Canis lupus familiaris: one gene and its partners. The protein of the gene in region 2 interacts with the protein of the main gene of each other region in a biochemical or structural test. Links are inferred from orthologs where the notes say so. Each region holds a gene or a part of one and is shown on either strand. Other genes may lie near its edges.

Region 1 (4,052 bases), on a different chromosome or scaffold from region 2:
TGAACCAGCACAGTCTTCCAGAGCCTGCCCATCATCTCGCCAGCCTCCTTGAGCCTCGGCACAGGTCAAGGCAGCACAGAGGACAAGTAAACCCTTGGAGCTAGTCTGAGATGGTTTGAGGAGCAGATGGGGCAGCAGAAGTCTTTACCCTGAGGAGCCACATATTTTCTTCCCAAGATTCCTAGGACCCAAGACTTCTGCCAGTGCAGGAGAGTCCCAGGAGCCAGAGGGACAGGATGCACTTCCTTTCTAAAGATTCCAAGCTCCAAAGCAGCTTGCGCCAGTGCTTACTTTGAGCACCACCCACAGTGTGGCTTCAGAAAGTAAAGTAAAAGCAGCTCCAGGAGAGCATGGTATGAGCTGGGGTGGAGGGTACTGGTCAATGTTCCCGGCAGAGTTACCCAGGTCCCAGCGGTTTCCTCACCTTCACCTCTCTTGATCCCCGCCCTGTCCCAAGTTCCTGAAACTGTCACCATTTTTCAGGCTAGAACAACTACAGGATGGCTATTTTTACTTCTTTTTCCTGAAAGGATAGGGCCCAGCCCTATCCCTTCCTTTCTTCCCTACCCACAAGGCTGGAAAAGACCAGATGATAAATCTAAAAACAACTTTTAAGTGATTTGGAAACTGAAACACAGATAGGCATTCACAGGAAGGAGGAGTGAGGAAAGCAGAGGAGGGAAAAGCCAGGTCACCCCTCAGGAGCTAGATTCTATACTATATATACATCTTGGTTTTCTAAGGAATCACTAAAATTCATTCACTGAAAAAAAAAGAGCAAACATTTGCTGCATGTTTACCATGGTCTAGGTAGTGTGTAGACAATATATACATTACTTCATTTAATTCATTCAGCAGTAAAACAAGACTGAGTGCCTACTATGTTAAGCAGTAGGAACAGAGAGATAGATACCAACCTTACCTTTAAGTAAGCAGTTCCAGAAGGTAAGATGCAATAAATAAACTAGGGATAAGAGAATGACTAGGGAGAAGTACTAAGACGGATGGGGGCACAGGAAGCCCTCTTTGGGAAGGTGACATTCCAGCTGAAGTCTGAAAGAGTGTTCTAAACAGATGGAAGAGTAAGTGCAAAGTTTCTCAATCAGACACAAATTTCAGGAACAGAAAGAAGGCCAAGATGTCCAGTACTTAGAAAGAAGAGGGTAGTTGGCTTGATGTAAAATCAGGTAATGCACGGGCCAGTTCACATTAGAGAGTTTGCATTTTAGATTAATTGCAATGGTAATCGATTGGCGGGTTTTAAGCAGGGGAGTGATAGGTCCTGAGTTATTTGCATTTTGAAAAGATCACTCTGCCTGCCCTGTAGAGAATGGACTGTAATGGTGCACGAGAGCAAGCAGGAAGAGTAAAGGAAGCAGCAGTCTAGGCAACTGATGGACGCCTGGCCTGCAGTGTTGGTAATGCAGACAGAAAAAAAGGTGTGATTGCCTCAGCAGTCATCACAGTATGCAAAAGTTTACTGTTGCACATCACCTCCTGCAAGTGCGATCCAGAAGCAGTGCACCGGCTTCCCCAAGTTTACTGCTCTACTATCCCAAACAGTGATTAGCACAATGTCATGCACATCTGAAAGTATTTAATCTATTTCAGTTTGTTAGACTGAAATTGTCCCTGAAAAGATTTAGGTAGCCCTCTAGGAAGACTGTCCAAGGAAGGACCAGAGCGGCTGCTTTCTGAAATGCCAAATTTCTTTGGTGGCTTGTCCTGGAGACTCACTTGCCTCAAGGATGGAGTACGGAGGAGATGAACCTCACCAGCAGATTGTCCAATCCCTAAGTAACACGTGATAGTATGAAATCACCTCACCTTCCCCCACCCACCCCAATGGAGTAAATCCACTCCTTAACAGGTTTTAGCAAGTCCCCTATGCATTTTGAGTCTAGCCCCGATTTCCCCAGGATCAAAGAAAGCAAACATATGTTCCGCCAAAGTAAAGGAACTCAAAGGCTAGGGGGTGGCCAACAGAGCCTACAAAGCAATTGCTTTGAGCCCCTGGATGACGTCAGCTCAGATGCCGACCGCTCAGATTCCTCCCGGGCCAATGGGCTCCAGGAATCTTTGGCAGGTGACGCCCCAGAAAGTAATTCCAGAGAGAATGAAGTTTCCACTGATAGCCTCACTGCAGTTCCTTCCGGACTTTGTGTGTGGGTATTTGGGGATGCCTGGGGCTGAGGGCGTATCCGAGTCTCCCTCAGTGAGGCTAATGGGAACCTAAGCAGAATGAAGGGCAGGACCACAACCACGGCCGTGGAAGAAGGCGGGGTCCTAGAAGACGGACCCATGGGTCCATGACACTCGGTGGGGTGGGTGGGGGGCGGGTGGCCAATCTTGGGTAGAGGAGGCGGATCCAGCAGAAATCCGAGGTGTAAATCTTAGGTTTCGTCCCAAAGGTCTGGAAAGATTAGCGAGACCCAACCTCTCCGTGGTCGGTGGAGTCTTCCCCGGGCCGCACCCCTCCTCACACCGAGAAGCCGACCGATTCTGACACGCACCCCAGTGGAGGACTTGCGCTCTCCATCTCCCCTCCGCCGTCCCACGCCTTCTCCCCAGCCCCGGGTGGGGCTCCTGCCCCTGCTCCTGCTCCAGCCCGCGGCCCGTCCATCCTGTCCCCCAGGGCATCCGCACCCCGCCTCTCACCGTTCCCGGGGGGCACGTCTCCTCTCAGCTGGGTTGCAAGCCGACCCCGTGCCGCCCGGGGCTGTGGCCGCCTGCCCGCCAGCAATCCCGGGCCGTGAGCTCACATCCTCCGCCCGCGGACTCCGCCCTGAGCCGCGGCCCAGCCCCGCCCGCCCCGCCGCCATGCCCAGCACCCAATCACGGGAGAGGGAGGGGCCCCTGGGAGAATTCCGCTGTTGGCGTTCGGCTACTTCCGGCAGCCTTTCCGCCGCAAAGGCCTCTGGATCTTGTAGGCAGCCGTCCCTCCCCACAGGCCCTTTTCCCAGCAGGCTCTGCGGGTTGGGCGGGGTAAGTACTTCCGCAGTCAGGTAATGACGTTACGGGTAAACAGTAGCCGTGGCAGCGGCTGAGGCCGGCGGGCGAGGCACCGGCTGCTGCTGCCCGGGGAGAGAGGCTGCCTGCAGGAAACAGCTCGGGCGGTAGCGCGCCGCCGCTACGGGGTTGCCAGGTAGGCAGCGACTCCGGGCCGGGGGACGCGGGCGGACCCGGGGCGACTGAACCTGACAGGCCGAAAGAAACGTGGGGATTCCGCGCGCGTCTTTGCGAGCGGTGAGACTCCAGCTGGGGCCTGGAGCTTTGCGTGGATGCTCGCAGCGGCCCTGTGACGAAACCGCGGCCCAGAAGTTCGAGGCGTTTCCGTAGTGTGGACAGCCAGCTCCATCACCCAGGTCTTCCTACCTGTGTGCCCGGCGCCCCTTGCCGACTATCCCGCGAATGGCGCCTGCCGGCGGGGCCGGGAATGGGTCTGGGAGAGCCAGGGAGGCGGAGAGTGTCGCCGCCGCCGCCGTCTTCGGGGAGCCCCGCGCGGCTCTGGTGCCCGGTGTTCCTCAGATGCTCAGACACGCACGTGTGGTGGGAGTTGGGAGGGAATCTGATAGTCGGCTGTGAACCCTCTCCCTGCCCTCCTTATCCGGTCTTATCCGTCTCATTCAGCTCTGCCCACCGAACTTAAAAGTTGGCGCTCGAGCCAGATACAGGGGAATCTTGCCTGCCTCTTTCCTTCCCTCATCCCAGACTCCTACATTCAGTCGGGGCTTTACTAATTACATCAGCTTATGTAACATCGCAAATGGGGACGCTTTTCTTCCAAGCCTTGGGTACTGTAATAGCCTTTTCTGTTTCCAGTCATTCATTCCACAGACATTTACTGAGTGCAGGCACCCTGCTAGATGCTAGGGTTACAGCGATGAACAAGGTATGTGTAGCCCCACTCTCTTGTTCCCTCCTCCACCCTGGGTCAGAGTGATGGTTGTAAAAGACACATATGTCTGCCTTTCCTGCTGAGAATTTGCTGGCTGCCCACTACCCTTATGATAAAACCCACGTTCATAACTGTGGCTTTCAGAGCTCTCCAT
Region 2 (4,285 bases):
AGGCAGCTCTGCCTTCTCTCTATACCTCTTCAGCCTTTACTCTCTTCTCTCCCTCCCAACTCTCTCAACACATAAATGAAAAAGATCAACATAGAAGCTGGAACTCTAGACTGAAAGGTGCAAGGCAAGACAGGTAAGCAGGAAATGAGATCCATGAGGAAACTAACATTAAGGGAGAGAGCCAAGTTACAGGATCAGAGTGTAGAATGAGGCTGTCACAAATCCAGGCAAAAGTCAGATGAGAGAGCAAAATAAAGTACAGAACTTAGGACAAAAGCAATCAGAGAACCAAAAGGAAATTTAGAAATTCAAGAAGCAGATCAACAGGAATTTGGGAGAAAAAAGAAAAACCACACACACACACACACACACACAAAGATAACCCCGAGGATGCCTCACCAGGCTCCAGGTCCAAGATCATGTCTAGAGCTTGTCGATAGTGAGGCACCTGCTCATTGAGTCCAGTGAGATTGAATTTATCCTGGATGTAGTCTTCATCCACCTGTCAGGATGTGGAAGTCAAGAAGAAACCCATAGCAGAATCCTCAGCTTTGATCTGGGCACATTGCTCTAATTGGTGCCTTGTTTCCAACACAACTGCTTCTGTTTTCCCTAATTCCCCACACCAACTCAGCAGAAATCCTTGAGTCTCTCTCCCCAGTTCACATACACTGCCTTCCCATAAAAGCTCTGGCTTTTCTTTCCTAAGGATAAGCAGCTACAACAATCTCTTCCTTAACGAGACACTCCTTTTAAAATCCCTGTTCCTATTCTTGATCCCATCTCTACAGACCAGTTTTGTCCTCTCCTTACCGGCAGCTAGAACTCTAAGAAAAGCAGCGACTAAACAGCTTGGGTCCTGTGGGCAGTTATAATCCATTATATCATTAGCACAAAACTTTGCCTGTTACAAAACATTTTGATAAACGGCATTTTAATCCTAATAGGCTCCCAAATTAAGCACTACTAGTACAAGCCTAGCAATAATAATAAGAATAACAGTAGTAGTAGTAGTAGTAATAAAGTTGACTTTTCCAATATTACACCGCTGGACAGTAACAGGCTTGGGATGGGCAAGTCTTGCCACTTCACAAATTAGTGAGGGGAGTTACTGAAGGGACTCTTCCTTGACAGGAAAAAGTTTCTATGACAGCCTGTAAGAGAAGTAGAAGCTAAATATGTGGAAAAACATACAGCCAAACTTTGTGCGGACATAGCTGGGAGATTGAGAACTCACTTCACAAAAGAATTCATTGCCACGGAGCCCACAGAACCAGGATATCCAAGACACCTCCTCTGAGCTGCTCATCTTCACGTCAGCTGGGAAAAAAAAAAAAAAGAGGGTAAACAAAGGCCAAGCTCCCCCACCCTGTCTCTGGTACCTTCCCTCCTCCCCACACTCTGCTCCCCGACCATGGAAGAATTTGGAGCCCCCTTTTCTTAAAGGATCCTAGACCCTGGCGCACCTGCCTCCAATTCCTCTTATTCACTAGAGGCTCTTTGGAGTCCCACCACTTCTGAAAAACCGACAGGTCTAGGCTCACCCGTCCTACCCACACCCCTAACAATCCCGAAAACCAGCACCCTCTCCTCTTTACGTCAAGTCCCTCCCTCGCAGGGCTCTCGGCTCGAGATCCCTACCCCGCAGGTCTCCGCATGTCCCCGACACCTTTCCCAAGGGTTCCGAAGTTTATCCTTTCCAAGCAAAAGCCAGGACCCTTTCCCCTCACGACCTGGAGGTGGCCCTGGGTCCCTCTCACAGGAGTCCCCACACCCCGCCTCTCAGGCCAACCCTCCCTCCCCCGGTGCCGGACCGGGTCACTTCCTTCCCCACCCCCACACCAACGCGCGGAGACCCCATGTGCCGCGCCTAAGGACGGAAGACTCGATGCGGCAACGACCTCAGACTCACCGGCTGGGCGGGGACCGGGACCGGGACCGGGGTGGGGGAGGGGAGTTGCTGCTTCCAAAGAACCGCGACGGCTACAGCGCAGGCCGCGGACCCGACCGCGGCAGGCGAAGTAGCGAGGGGGGGGGGGCGGGGGGCGGTGTGTGTGGAAATTGGGGAGGGTGGGGAGAGGGCAACGCGCAAGCGCCAAGGGTCGGGCGCCGCAGTGAACGCCGGGAAATGGAGTCCCAGGTAAAGAGAAACTGGCGAAGCGAAGAACAGGCGAACTACGAATCCCAGGATGACCCACGAACGACCCTGGCGTCGCGAGGCCCAGGAACAAGACGCTCGGGGGTGGGGAGCAGCGGGATACCACCGGAAGCGGAAGCGCAGTACCCCGTTCTGGGCCAGGGAGTATGGGAAATAGAGTCGTAGGGTCGCGCAACTGAGGGGCCGGGAGGGGGCGGGGAAGGAACGGGGCTGGAGGGCTGGATTCCTGCAACTCCCCTCACACAGCGAGGCTCTGCCCCAGGTGTTTGCCGGCAGCCCAGGGTGCTGACCTCGTCCCCGACTACCCCACCGGGTCCTTGTTGCCTGCGGAGCCTCTCGCCAGAGTCAGGCCCGCCACTGGAGGCCCCACCCGGGCCGGTGCTTCACCCCGGGGTCTAGTCTCCTCAGGCGGGAGGTGAGGCCGGGCTCCTTGCTTGCGGGACGTGGGAAGAGTGGGCTGGGCTGAGGTGAGCGGTGTGAGAATTGGGACGGCCTGTGCGCTAACCTGAAGTGGCGCCAGCCATTCTGCTGCTCGTCCCCTTGCACTTTTCCATCTCCTCTCAGAGCTTGAATGGGGCCTTCTGCTGCGGGCACTAAGTGTGACCTTCGAACCCTGCTCAGAATAATGGTGAGGGGTGGCGTGACGTTATTTCACTTCACGGCTTCGGGGCATTCCACAGGTTTCCTCCCGCCTTCTCAGAGCCCTCCTTAACTCGGTGGTTTCGCAGGTCCAAAAACTGCGCTCGGAGTGGGGGGCCACGTTCCGGGAGGCGAAGGGCATTGTGGGGCGTTATGTAGAAGTAGGACCCCAACCGACAGAGCCTCTGTCCTCGCGCTGCCTGGGCACGTGGCATCCTGGAGGGTCCCACCGTGCGAAGGCTCAGCCTGGCGCTTCGCACACGCCCGCACCCTCAAGTTCTGCTTTGTGGTGGTTGATTTTTTTTTCAGTCACACATGTGTGTCTGGGTCGTGTGGCTATTGGACTGGCAGCACCTTTGCTTAGATAAAATTTTTGTGGTACAGAGACCCTGTGGGGTCTCCACAGAGACTGGAGTTTCTCCCCCAAATCTTCTTCTTGCATCCGGAGAAGGTTAAAAGTCTGTTTTTGTTTGGAAAGACCCTACCCTGACATAGGATCAAGGAAGATTTAAAGGGCTAGGCTGATTGTTTTCTTAACTGCACGTCTTACCTGGTGATCAAGTAGTTTGAGAGAGAAGCTGTTTTTACTTATTGGTGAGGATAGGGATGGGCCTCTGGGCAATTCTCATTAAATCTTTGTTAAGTTAACCTTTACGAGGGATATGGGCTGTTATTGTATGGCTCCCTGTTTTTCCACATGACCTATGGTCCTTAGGCCCTGTAGGGTCCTAGGTTGTGGGGTCACTTAGAGTATAAGACGGGTTTTTGACTTGGAAAAGGCTACTTTTCCTCATCCCAGCAGATCTGTGGAGGTGGTTCTGGTCAGTGCAGAGCCACCAAGGGATTGGCTTGCTTGTCTCATACGCCCTTTAATTAGTCTCATTGTCTCAGTTCTCCCAAAAGCCATGTCCAGGCCCTCCCTCATCACCTTCACCCCGGCCACCAACCCCAGTGACCTCTGGAAAGATGGGCAGCAGCAGTCACAGCCTGAAGAGCTGGAGCCCACCCTGAATGGGGCTGCAGCCCGGGCTTTCTATGAGGCCCTGATTGCAGAAGAGAGCAGCATCCCTGCATCCCAGAGATCTCAGCCTGAACCTGACAGGAAAAGAAAGAGGAAGAAGAGAAGAATGATGGGGGAAGCTGCTGTAGGAGCCTCAGCAGGACATGGACAAAGGAGATCCCTTGAGGCAGAGGACAAGATGACCCATTGGATACTGAGGGCAGCCCAGGAGGGTGACCTAGCAGAACTAAGAAGGCTCTTGGATCCCCACGAGGCAGGGGGAGCGGGGGGCAATATCAATGCTCGGGATGCCTTCTGGTGGACCCCCCTGATGTGTGCTGCTCGAGCAGGCCAGGGGGCTGCTGTGCGCTATCTCCTGGGCCGTGGAGCTGCCTGGGTGGGTGTCTGTGAGCTGGGTGGCAAGGATGCTGCTCAGCTGGCTGAAGAAGCGGGTTTTCCTGAGGTGGCGCGCATGGTCCGAGAGAGCC
Region 3 (3,612 bases), on a different chromosome or scaffold from region 2:
GAAACATACCTGATTCATACAACTCTTTTTCCACTGATAGCCCAATTTCTCACAAGTCTCTTTCAGGCATTGATAAGATTTGTCTGCATCCAATTTGGTAAAAAATCGTGTCATCCTTTTCACCAAGCGCTGCCAAGGGTTCTACATGTCAAACAGAGGAAACCTGAATAAATCTGGTATCACCAAAAGCAGTCATATCATAGCTATTGGGTCTGAAAATTTTTTTGTGTGACTAAAGATTCTTATATAGGAAAGCATCCTCTTATCTCTTCCTTAAAAAAAAATCTATATACGCACAATATTAATACTATATTTCTAAGATTTATACATTAAAACAAAAGCCTTTATGAGGAAAAAACTAGAAGTTTCTCATCATTTATTTGAAAAAACTAAATTCCCTTACCTGTGAGGATCCCGGGGTGCCAAGTAACTGACTATTCAGGAGCATATGATCAGGACATGTGGGTTGGGAAAAACTGATCCCTTGTACCAGCTTATCAATATATGAAGGGCTAGTGTCCCATACGGAAAGACCTGTCCGTGGTTCTGGCTGGGAACTGGAGTACTTCACATTTTCTTCACTGAGGCATTAAGATATGGGGAAAAATATATCTTTAGATAAAACCAATCAGGCCTTTCTTATATCACATTACCATTCTCACACTGATAAAAAATTACATTCATTATCAAGAAAAAATATATACATGCATTATTTTTATGGGAATATTACATACAATAATTATTTGGTCTTTATTGATTTATCTTACCTAGAGGCACTGTTCACTGGAGAGAAGTCCAAATTGGATTGAATGTGCTTAGAAAATCCACTAGGAGACTCTGATACACCACCTGAAGTGACTCGGGGCCTCTTTGCTCCTAAAAAAAGAAAACATAAATACAAATGTTTTTAAACCACATCTAAATCCATTTACTCAAAACAAAATAGTTATATGACAAATAGTGGCTCTCCATACATGATTGCATAAGAAATGTGGTCATCATAAACTTAGGAGGACTCCTGTGTCAAATTACACATTTCACAAATCCTGATTTGTATGTTGCCAGTGTGGGATTTCACAATAAAGTCATAATTTTATTTTATTTTTTTAAGATTTTATTTATTTGACAGAGATAGAGAGAGTGAACAAAAGCAGGAAAAGAGGCAGAGGGAGATGCAGGCTCCCTGCTAAGCAGGGAACCTGACACAGAGCTCAGGTGTCAGGACCAGGATCCAGAGATCATGACTAAGCTAAAGGCAGATGCTTAACCAACTGAGCCACCCAGGCACTCTCTCCCCTGGCAAAACTTTACTGAGAATAATTATTACAAAGAAAATGATGCCACTGTAACTTCTGTGGTTAATACCCTTAGCTGGATCCTCAATACTGATAGTCCTATGTTTTTCAGTCAGTTTCCTCTCCCTTTCTCCATAATGACTGCTTCAAAACTTCTACATTCTTATCAAATTCCCACAACCACCCACCCTCCAGTTCCTTATTACGTAGCACAGGATACCATCTCCCACTGCACAAAGAAAATAACGTCATTAGAAACTCCCTCAACTTGCCATTAATAAATCTGCCAATTTACTTGCATTGCGACTCATCCTTCCCTCCCTTCCATGCTCCCATCCAATGCCCATCCCTCTACTCATACCTGAACCCCATACCTTCCTATCTCTTCGGGGTCTTGATGCTCCTTCATTCCTTCTCTCTTATACCTTCAGCCTTTTTCCCTCTCAACTGGAACTGTCCCTAAACCATTTAAACACACTTATATTTAGCCAAACATTTTATTTATTAATTCCTTCATCCAAATATTTTAGTAAGCCTCCTATGGATCAGGCAGTAAGATGAGAGAAACAGCATGCTGGTATGCTGATGAGAAAGTTAATACAGAAAAATTAACAATGCAGGAGGAAGACTGAAGAATTGCTAGATAATGTCCCTGAGTAAGCAAAAGAGAACTGGGTCTCAAGTACAAGAGAAAGAGAGTTGGCTTATAACTGGAGCAATTTATTCATAGCAACAAAGAGAAAGCAGAGTATAGGAGCACAGAGGCAGCTGGTTAGGTGAGTGGAGGTGATGACTGAAGCCTGTAGAAGTTCCTTTGTGACTGTTTCCATTTCTCAGTGAAATAGGAAATGCTGTCACCAACTGAGAGTGAGGAGGGGAAAAGAGGCATTCAAAGTTGAAGGGGAAAAAAAAGTATATAAATGTGATTTAGGAGAGTGAGGCTGTCAAAGGAGTGGAGAAATGCATTATAACTGACTGGCAGAATTAAGGGCTCACTTGAGATTAGTGATCCTGAATTTAAAGTTAATATTCTGGTCCAAATGTGATCCGCTGTGCAGGTGTTAAGTGTACATAGGCAGAAAACTGGATTAAACTTGGGTTAGGTTTTGACCAGTAACCATGATGAAGAGCGAACAGGGCTGGAAAGCTGAAGCTGAATGTAAAGGAGTCATTATAATAACTGACCCTAGGATTTAAAGTAATGAGGATGGGATGCCTGGGTGGCTCAGCGGCTCAGAGTCTGCCTTTGGCTCAGGGCATGATCCCAGAGTCCCAGGATTGAGTCCCACATCCAGCTCTCTGCATGGAGCCTGCTTCTCCTCCCTCTTCCTGTGTGTCTCTCTCTGCCCTCCCCGCCCCGTGTGTGTCTCTCATGAATAAATAAAATATTTGAAAATAGTAATAATAAATAAAGTAATGAGGATGGAGCTAAGGACCTAGGGAGGGGGCAAATAAGAAATAGTGAAAAGGAAGTAGATTCGTGAATTGCATATCTAGGTAGGGTCAAAGGATTGCTGGAGTCAGGGAACTAGAGGAAACCAGGAAAATATAACAGTAGTCAAAGCAGGATGCTTAAAGAGACAATCCAGGAAATATAAGTTCAGAAAATTGGAAGGATCATCCAAATGAATATTTAAATTACCAAGAACCATGACAAAATGTACATCAAGAGTTGGAGAGAGTGATGATGTGACAAGAATTTTAATTGGAGGTTCAAAAGCTGACTGTAACAAGGATGGAACAGCGGGTGATAATCTGATATGAAATTCAAAATGAAGCAGGGGAGAAATGTGAGGAAAAGGCAGAAAGTGGCAACAAAGGACAAAAAGGATGCTTGCCCACTCTCAGATTCAAAGGTAGGAGAGTGTGGGAAAGAAAACAGCTACCACTGGAGGAAGCCTGTGTTCTCAAGGGAGAGCTGGATTCCTGTTAGAATAGAGTGAAAGGTAAAAGATGCATTCAGAGAATGCCTGGGTGGCTCAGCAGTTGAGCGCCTGCCTTCGGCCCAGGGCATGATCGTGGAGTCCCAGGATCAAGTTCCTCATCGGACTCCCTGCAAGGAGCCTGCTTCTCTCTCTGCCTATGTCTCTGCCTCTCTCTGTCCCTCATGCTCTCATGAATAAATAAAATCTTAAAAAAATAAAAGATGCATTCAGAGAAGAGTTAAAAACTCACTCATCTCTAGCCATTGTCCTCTTTCCTCTCATTCACAGCCAGAATGAGCTGTCTACACTCTGCTTCATTATCTCTCTTTTAGACTATAATCACTGTACTCGACAATTACTCCCACCTCTCCACCAAATCTGTTCCTGCCACA

The links.
Region 1: the proteins of CSNK2B (region 2) and TNFAIP1 form a complex in vitro, tested with the Homo sapiens proteins (2 studies listed by BioGRID, with this or other methods). The link is inferred for Canis lupus familiaris from reciprocal best matches to the Homo sapiens genes CSNK2B and TNFAIP1.
Region 3: of the proteins of CSNK2B (region 2) and CHEK1, one has a biochemical effect on the other in vitro, tested with the Homo sapiens proteins (2 studies listed by BioGRID, with this or other methods). The link is inferred for Canis lupus familiaris from reciprocal best matches to the Homo sapiens genes CSNK2B and CHEK1.

Annotation. Positions count from the first base shown.
Region 1 is NC_049230.1:42,558,439-42,562,490, reverse strand, and holds the start of TNFAIP1 (BTB/POZ domain-containing adapter for CUL3-mediated RhoA degradation protein 2), read right to left. Parts: upstream 2,805-4,052; 5' UTR 2,659-2,804; intron 1-2,658. UniProt on the Homo sapiens protein: Substrate-specific adapter of a BCR (BTB-CUL3-RBX1) E3 ubiquitin-protein ligase complex involved in regulation of cytoskeleton structure.
Region 2 is NC_049233.1:1,286,635-1,290,919, reverse strand, and holds the start of CSNK2B (casein kinase II subunit beta), read right to left. Parts: upstream 2,803-4,285; 5' UTR 2,713-2,802; coding exon 2,664-2,712; exon of another isoform or gene 2,585-2,663; intron 2,574-2,584; exon of another isoform or gene 2,166-2,573; intron 2,066-2,165; exon of another isoform or gene 1,913-2,065; intron 1,790-1,912; exon of another isoform or gene 1,642-1,789; intron 1,321-1,641; coding exon 1,238-1,320; intron 503-1,237; coding exon 400-502; intron 1-399. Other genes in the region: GPANK1 (G patch domain and ankyrin repeat-containing protein 1), read left to right, coding at 3,703-4,285. UniProt on the Homo sapiens protein: Regulatory subunit of casein kinase II/CK2.
Region 3 is NC_049226.1:8,902,150-8,905,761, forward strand, and holds part of CHEK1 (serine/threonine-protein kinase Chk1), read right to left. Parts: intron 877-3,612; coding exon 768-876; intron 582-767; coding exon 404-581; intron 142-403; coding exon 10-141; intron 1-9. UniProt on the Homo sapiens protein: Serine/threonine-protein kinase which is required for checkpoint-mediated cell cycle arrest and activation of DNA repair in response to the presence of DNA damage or unreplicated DNA.